2 linked regions of the Rattus norvegicus genome follow. The protein of the gene in region 2 interacts with the protein of the main gene of each other region in a pairwise test. Links are inferred from orthologs where the notes say so. Each region holds a gene or a part of one and is shown on either strand. Other genes may lie near its edges.

Region 1 (4,357 bases), on a different chromosome or scaffold from region 2:
GGGAGAAGGAACACCCTTACACAAGAAGGGGAGGGAGATGGGATAGAGGGCTTATGGATGGGAAACCGAGAGAGGGAATAACATTTGAAATGTAAATAAAAAATATCCAATAAAAAGCAAAACAACGGGCTGGAGAGATGGCTCAGTGGTTAAGAGCACTGACTGCTCTTCCAGAGGTCCTGAGTTCAAATCCCAGCAACCACATGGTGGCTCACAACCATCTGTAATGGGATCTGATGCCCTCTTCTGGTGTCTGAAGACAGCTACAATGTACTCATATATAAAAAGTAAATAAATCGGGGCTGGGGATTTAGCTCAGTGGTAGAGCACTTGCCTAGCAAGCGCAAGGCCCTGGGTTCGGTCCCCAGCTCCGGAAAAAAAAAAAAAGCAAAACAACAACAACAAAACCCAAATCTAAACAAAATAGACACAGAGAGACAGAGTCAGACACACAGAAACACTCAGAGATAAAAAGAGAGGAAGAGAGACAGGGAGGACAAGAACCAGAAGCAGAGTTTCAGAGAGACAGCCAGAGACAAGGATTAGAGTCTAGCAGAGACACAGGTGGAGATTGACAGAGACAGCCAGAGAGAGATTTAGAGACAGAGAGTCTAACAGAGACATAGAAACCCAGGGAGAGGCATAGACAGAGACACAAAGAAACTCTGAGAGACAGGGTCTGAGCTAGTGATGAAGATACAGAGGCAGAGATTAGAGGCAATTGAGAAGATACAAAGAGAGCAGTGGAGAGACTGCAGAGATATAGAGAGATGGAGTTGGAAACTGAGGGAGGGGAGGAAGGAGGGAGAGAGATGGAGAACACAGAGAAAGAGAGCCTGAGGTCAAAAGAAGGAGAACCATCAGGAACTACACATGTGAACTAGTTCACTCATCCAGAGTACAGATCTCTTCCCAGTTATTCTGGCTGTGTCAGGAGATTTACAAGTTCAACGCTAGCGTGGGCCACAAAGAACAACCCGGAAAGCCCTGTGCCTTTCTCTTCCCAGTCTCTCAGGAGCACTGTACACATTTCTCGGTGCTTTTGAAGACATTTCTTTCCAGATAATAGCTGATGCTGGAGGGACACCAGTTAGACCTAAGGAAAGACTTCCCCAGGAGTGGGGACTCCTGGTTGCCGGCAGGAGTTGGGCCTTCCTTCCCTCCCTTCCTCATCAACCCTAATTGCCAAGATGTCACTGTGGGGGTGGTGGCGGTGGATTAAGCAGACGGTGCCCTTCCCCCAGCCAATGTCACCTCCTGTTGCCCAGTCGGTCCCCCACCTTCCCTGGGATTACCCTTCGAGATCCAGGCCACAATAGATGACATCACTCTCAGCTCAGGCTTAAAGTCACCCCATGTGAGGGGACCTATTTCCTCTAGCCTCTGCTGTCTGATGACACCATCCAGGACCTGGGCATCCAGGAGAGCCCCCATTTCTTCTTTCCAAAGGTGAGTCTTTGCAGGAGAGGCTGAGTGGACCAGGAAGAGAGAGAGAGGGGGTGGGTGGGGGAGAGAGAGTGAGAACGAGAGAGCGAGAGAGAGCAAGAGAGCGAGAGAGCGAGAGAGCGAGAGAGAGGAGATTTTATTCTCACTCGTCCATGTTTTCTGGGCTTGGTATAGTTTGACACAAAGATGGATCTGTGATGCTTTCTGAATAAATTAAGGTAGGGTAGAGATTCCAGCAGGTGTTCAGGGAAACAGGCCACTTAGGACCATGGTTGGAGGGAGTTCAGAGGTGGAATGCACACATCCGTGTATGTGAGCATGTTTGTATGTTTGTGTGTGTATGTATGTATGTATGTATGTATGTATGTATGTATGTGTATATGTATGTATGTGTACAGCGTGTGTAAGTGTGTGCGTCCATGTAAGAGAGCATCTGTGGAGGACAGAGATAGACATATTGGGTGTCTTCCTAAATACTTCCCGTTTGCTATTTTTTCCTAGAACTCTCTATGTAGACCAGGCTGGCCTTGATCTGATGGATCTTCCTGACCCTGCCATCCAAGTACTTAAGGTTAAAGGTGTTCACCACCACACTCAGCCTATCTCAGACAATGTCTTTTACTGAACTTGGATCTCCCTTCTGAGCTGAGGCTGGCTGGACAGTGAGCCCTGTGTATCTGTTTGTCCCTGTTTCCCCAGCGCTGGGGTTATAGTGTGCCCAGCTTTTATCTGGATGCTGGGGATCTGAACTCAGATCCTTACATATGCACAGAAGGTGCTTTATGTACTAAGCCATCTCCCCACTCCCCCGCAACCTTTTAAATTTTATTTATTTATTTATTGAGAGGAAGTCTTATGGAGCATCGGGTGGTCTTGAACTTGTTCTGTAATAGAGGCTGGTCCTGAACTCCTGATCTTTGTACACCACTACTCCCACTTGTATTGTCTTTAACTCTTTGGGATTTTTCTTCTCTGTTTGTAAGGATATATATATATATATATATATATATATATATATATATATATATTATATATTATATAATATATACATTATATATCCTGTTGAGGCCAATGTGGCTAATTTCTGTTCAATGCCAGCTCAACATAGTAAACTGGAATTCTTTCTCTAAAGTTGAGAGCAGGGCTAATGTTTCTAAGAACTCAAGTTATAGATGTTGAGTTTTGAAGGGAAACACCAATATTACTAATTTTTTTGCCTCAATGACTGTAGAAACTTTTCTAGGGCCTGTGGTCATCCAAATGAAATTATAGAGACATGTGGCAGGGCATAGTGGTGTATGCCTTCAATCCTAGCATTCAGGAGGTAGAGGCAAGCAGATCTGTCAGCTTGAGGTCAGCCTGATCTACAGAGTAAGTTTTAGGTTAGCTAGGACTTCATAAACTTTATATCAAAGGGAGACCTTGTCTTAAAAAAAAATATGGGGAGTTGGATGGCTCAGTGGTTACGAGTACTGGCTGCTCTTCAGGAGGATTGGGGTTTTGATTCCAAGCACCTACATGGTGGCTCACAGCTGTTTGTAATTACAGTTCCAGGGTACTTTTCTGGCTTCTTCTGATGGTACCAGGTGTGTTTGTGTTCATAGAAATACATGCAGACAAAACACCCATACACATAATATTAAACAAAACACTAACACAATGAAAGTAAAAAAAAAAATCCTAGGAACACCAAAGTTCGATATTACTGCTGCATATTTCTCTCTCTCTCTCTCTCTCTCTCTCTCTCTCTCTTGTCACAGTCTTTTATAGCACATGCTGGCCTTGGATTTGCTATATAGCTGAGGATGACCTTGAACTTTTGATCCTTCTACTTCTACCTACAGAGTCCTAGGATTACAGGTGTGAGACTCATGTTACTGTTTCTTCTCGTGTGTGTGTATGTGTATGTGTGTAATATATGCATGGAAGTGTGTGTATCTATTTGAATATGCCTGCATATTTGGAGGCCAGAGGATAACATCAACGTTTTTTCTTCTATTCCTCCTCTGCCTTATTGCTTTGAGACAAGGTCTCTCAGTGAACTAGGCACAGGGCATTTTGACAAGGCTGGCTGCATAGCTAGCTCTTGAGACCCACCTGTTTCTACCCTTCTTAAGGCTATAGTTCCAGGCATACAAAGCCATGTCTGGCTTTTTACATGGTAGCTACAAATGTAAACACAGGTTCTCATGCTTTTGCACTTAGCACTCTTCTCTACTTAACCATTTCTACCATGCCCACCCCACCTCACTTTTGAGACAAGGGCTCATGTATCCCAGGGTAGCCTCTAACATGATAAGTAGCCTAGAATGTCATTGACCGCCCCCAGCCTCCATCATCTGAATTTTAGAATTACCGGTGTGTGCCACCATACCCAGTTTATGTGATATTGGGGATTGAACCCAGGGGCTTAATACATTCGAGGCAAGTACTGTAACCAGCTGACCTATACCCCAAGCTTCCCATTGTCATTGTTAGACAGAGTGTGCTTATGAATCCCAGGTTGGCTTTGAATTTGGATCAATCCTCCTGCCTCAGGCTATGAGTGGCATATGTGAGCAAGCCTCCACACCCAGATAGAGGGTGAGAAGGAGGGGCTGGAGAGATGGCCCAGTGGTTAAGAACACTGACTGCTTTCCTTGAGGTCCTGAGTTCAATTCCCAGCCATCACATCTGTAATGAGATTTGATGCTCTCTTCTGGTGTGTCTGAAGACAGCTGGCTGCAGTGCACTCCTATACATAAAATAAATAAATTAAAAAACAAAACAAAAAAACAAGAGAGGGAGGGGGAGTCAGCAGACTGTTAGCAGGGTGCTGCTGGTTGAAGATCAGAGAACAACATGCAGGTGTGAGTCCCTCTTTCTACCGTGTGCATACTCAGTTGTTTGGCTCAGAAGCAGGTGCATTCAC
Region 2 (4,426 bases):
TTCATGATCAACGAAGACAGTGCCATTAATAACTATAATTGAGCAATGATACAAATGCATTTCAAATGCTTACCTATCTCAAAACTGGCCAACTCCAAGACACCTTAACCCTAACAACCGGACAAACAGATTTGCGAGAGTAGAACTGACACACTGTGGTGGGTTGTTTGGAAGGCTAGGGATACAAAGCAGAACGCTGCGCATGCCAGGCGAGCTTGCTACCCCTGAGCTATCCGCCCACTCTTATTAATGCCCATAAATTATGAAACACATACACATTTGCCCCCGACCAACTAAAATATGTTTGGCTCTTTAATTGTTCTCTTTTTATCTCGCACAAAGAATTCAAGAGAAAAAAATATCATCATTAGTATCATTGAGATGCATATTCGGGTGGAGAATTACTGATTTTTCTGACAAGCCTATGAATAAGGAAAAAAAAAACCCTATAACATAATAAAGTGAAAGGCCAGAGACTTGAATTCGAGTCTTGAAAAAAGTGTGGTTATGTGGCCTGTGGGCAAATCTCACATGCGGTCTATGAAGCTTGGAAGCGACAGAATTCATCATTCGCAGCCTTTTCTGTTCAAGATGATATCCTGGTAGACCCGAGGATCTCAATGCTGGGCAGAGAATGTTGGGAAGTGGAGGGTCTAAGCTGCCTATACAAGCCACCACCCAAGTGACTGTTGTTAAGTCACCTGCCCTGTCTCTGCTTCCTCCTTAAGGTCTGACAGAAGCCTGATACTGGATGATCAGTCAGGTCCAGCTTCCCCCACTCAACTTTATCCACCCAGATATCCAGAGTCATCCCCAGCAGAACTGTGCATCCCCAAGTGTTCTATCACTCTGGGTTTGTCGTTTTAGTTTATGAGTGCCTGCTCATGAAGCTGCCAGAAGAGGATGAAAACGTGCCAGAAGGGTATGCCTGAAGCTACTGTCAACTTCCTCAGTATGACTAAAAGAGTCAAAGTAATAATTTCAGTTACAAGTTTATAACTTACCTAATACCTAAAATCAGTTCAAATTCCCAATGTCACTCATTTCCTGGGGATTAATACTGTATGTAATTTCTCATGGCAGCCCACAGACACACAAAGCATGCCCAACACCAGGTGACCAACTATGATACAGTTGACATTTGGGCTTGATCAGTCTTTCACGTAGGTGGCTGTGAGCTTAGGAATGTTTAGCAACATCCTTGGACGGGCCACTAGATGTCTGTACTGACAGGACTTCTACAAGAGGTGGCCATTCAAAGATGTCTCTAGATGCTTTACTAGATAAGGGTCCCTGATGTAAAAATCTCTAGGAGGTAAGTACCACCACCACCTCAGTAGAGAACAACCGAGTTCGAGGATTTAAAGAACTCTTGGCTTTACTAAGTTTACAATGACCCCTTTATCCGCAGTCTAAAAGCCATCTCCAGTAAACTGGACAACGCTGTTCTTGGATATAAGCAAAAGACCTACAAAGCTTCCCCTCACAGGTCTACACTGAGTAAGGCAAACTCGTCATAGGAGGCTACTTCTCTACCAACACCAGGAATGTGTGGGAGCACGCACAGAGGTCCAAGGAAGCAGAATGTGAGATAGGCAGGTGGAGGTTCCTGGAGCAAGCGATCCTTTAGGTAAGAAGAGGTGACCACCTCGCGGGCAACCGGTCACCAACTCAGAGCTGGGCCGCCGCTGGGCCTCCGGGTGCCGGTGCCCGCGCCGGGCTCCCGCCACGCCCACCGAACGTCACCCGTTACACAACGCCCCCCCACCCAGCTTATGCAATTCTGCCCTCCCGCGGCTTCTAATTGCCCCGGTGACTTTAGTGCATGACCAAGGTAGACGCGGTACCCCCAAGCCCCGCCAAGCCCGGGGATGCTCGCCCCACCCCGGCTGGGGTTCCCAGCCAGCTCACAGAGGGAAGCCTGTGGCCCCCACCCACCCCGCGCCCAAGCTCCGCCGCCCCAGGTCCCCGCTCGGCGCGCGCACGAGGGAACCTCGCATCCGCGCCCCTCCCTGCGCCGCGTCACTTGAGGCTCCCAGGCGATCCCCACCGTGACCGAAGCACCCCGGGGCGCCGCCCCCTCCCACACTCGCAATCCCCGCTCGCCAGTCCCGCACCGCAGCCCCGCATCACCTGCTCGCAGAGCGTCGCAGGCGGCGGCCAGGGCCTCCCGGTAGCGTCCTTCGTGTAGTAGCTCCCCGAGGCGGCCGGCCGCCCGCGCGCGCTCGCGCTGGCCCGGGAACCACTTCTCCGCCAGGTGGTTGAGCACGACGCTGGTTCGGAAGTCGGCGATGGCGGCGGCCAGGGGCGGCGGCCGCGGGGTCCCCTCGGAGGCGGCGGCGGCGGGTGGCAGACGGTCCCGGCACAGGCGGCAGCGGGCGCGCAGTTCCCTCCGTAGGCAACGGCGACAGTAGCTGTGGCCGCACGGCACGGTCACCGGCTCACTTAGGAAGCCCCGGCAGCCCAGGCAGCTGAGCAGCCCGGCCGCGCCCGCGGCGGGTGCCGCGCTCCAGCGCAGCCCGTGACGGAGCCGGTAGCTGAACACCAGGCAGTCCACTAGCGAACCGAGGCGCTCGGGCCTGGCCGGGGCCCCGCGGCGCAGCGCAGCCGCGAACGCCTCCAGCGCTCCCTTCAGGTGGCCGCCCAGCGCCAGCAGCTCGCCGCGGCGGAGCAGAAGCTCCCAGCGCCCCGGCTCCGCGCCCGCGCGCTCCAACCGCTCGCCGCCGCCCACTTCCCACGGCCCGTTCCGGCTCCGCGGTCCGCCGGCCGTCTCCCGATTCCCGCCCGGGGACGCCCTCGCCACGGCCGGAGAAGACATGGCCCGCGCAGGGCTGCTCCTCCGTCGCCGCCCGCCGCCACGGTCCGGGAACCTCCGGGGCGCGCGGCTCCGCACGCGGCCGGCGAGCAGGGGGGCGTGGCGCGCGGACATGGCGGGGCGGCGCGCGCCCGGGGAGCCCCTAGGGGCGGGGCCTGGGGAGAGGGGCGGAGCTTAGCGAGACGGAGAGGGGCGGGCCTTGGCTTCCGCGCCCGGCCTCCCGACACGCGGCCGGCCGCCCAGTACCGGAGAGCTGGCCGGCCTGTCCCACCCTTTCTGAGCCCCTCCTGGTGAGGGACGCGAGATCAGATGATCCCCAGCGGGGATCTAATTGGCTTCTCTGACAAGGAGGCTTGGCTCCTGACTGAACAAAGCCTGAAGTCTCCCAGGCGGCCTGCGAGCTGACACCTCTTGTAATCGTGGCTGGTCCCCAGGCCTATAGTGGGTGCTATGCTGTTCGTGTGGGCACCAGCAGTGCTGTGACCCCAAACCTGCCGCACATGAGTAGATACTTAGACCCCTCCTGGCCGTAGATGGAAGCCTTGGGTGGGTCTGGATGCCCAGGGTTTCTGCTGGCCAGAACAAGTAGAGGGACTGCGAATGCACATGCACGGTGTGATTACTTTGAGACTCAAATCTGAAATCGGCCAACTCTAGACACACATATTTCATGTTACTGAGACCACTTCCTCCCAGCACGCAAGAGTTTTTCTTGGTGCTTGGTTAGTGCTGACTTGTGATGAAGTTTATTAAGAGAAAATGACAGAAACGAACTGTCCAAAAGAAACCCAATACTTTGTGAGCGATTTGTAAACTTTAATTTTAAAAGTGCAATACACCAAAAAACATTAAACTATTAAATAAACCACATGTACACTTAGAGAGTGAAAGTCCCCATGTCCTCAGGTGTGCTCCACATCCTTCATACACACTAACCCACAGTTGCTTAAAGTTTTTTAAATGAGAAAACAGGAGAAAAACATTTTCGCTGTGGCAGAAACCAGATCACCACGATGCAAGCGTTCTGCAGCTTGGTCGATTGAAGATAGTTTGGCTCATATGTAATGGGTTCTAGTTCCTCTAAATGTGAAAGCATCAGGTATCTCAATGGAAATATTTATAGACTTGATTACAGAGTACTGGGTTGGTAATGTAGGAAGAGATTTAAGGCTTCTTTTTCAAATACTTGATAACAGGAAATAATTCAGTCTGAAATCATACAGTCAGTATTGAAAAGATTTTAAGATCTCACAGTGATAGTATCATATATATATATATATATATAATGTTTAATAAAATTATCTTCAAATATTTTTAACCAGAGATCTTCAAATAAAGCAATTGGATGGAATGTCAAAGGTCATGCTGTCTAAAATTGTCTAACAATTAATTGTTCCTGCTTACACAGAATAGGTAATAACAGTTCAAAAGTGTCTTTATACTAAACAATGAGCAAACTTTCCTCAGAAAAGAAAGGGGGACAGGAACAAAGAGAGAGAGCAAGAAGAGTTAACTTAAATACAAAAACAAAATCCCAGGTTCCTGTTCCAGCAGTAATGCAGAGACTGTCTCTGAAGCAAGCTGCAGCGAGACAAGGAGCACTTCATCACA

The links.
Region 1: the proteins of Lonrf1 (region 2) and Crx interact in binary tests that used the Homo sapiens proteins (3 or more experiments, as listed by UniProt). The two-hybrid records come from large-scale screens. The link is inferred for Rattus norvegicus from reciprocal best matches to the Homo sapiens genes LONRF1 and CRX.

The regions. Positions count from the first base shown.
Region 1 is NC_086019.1:85,678,881-85,683,237, reverse strand, and holds the start of Crx (cone-rod homeobox protein), read left to right. Parts: upstream 1-1,385; 5' UTR 1,386-1,449; intron 1,450-4,357. UniProt on the Homo sapiens protein: Transcription factor that binds and transactivates the sequence 5'-TAATC[CA]-3' which is found upstream of several photoreceptor-specific genes, including the opsin genes.
Region 2 is NC_086034.1:62,686,448-62,690,873, reverse strand, and holds the start of Lonrf1 (LON peptidase N-terminal domain and RING finger protein 1), read right to left. Parts: upstream 2,944-4,426; 5' UTR 2,930-2,943; coding exon 2,134-2,929; intron 1-2,133.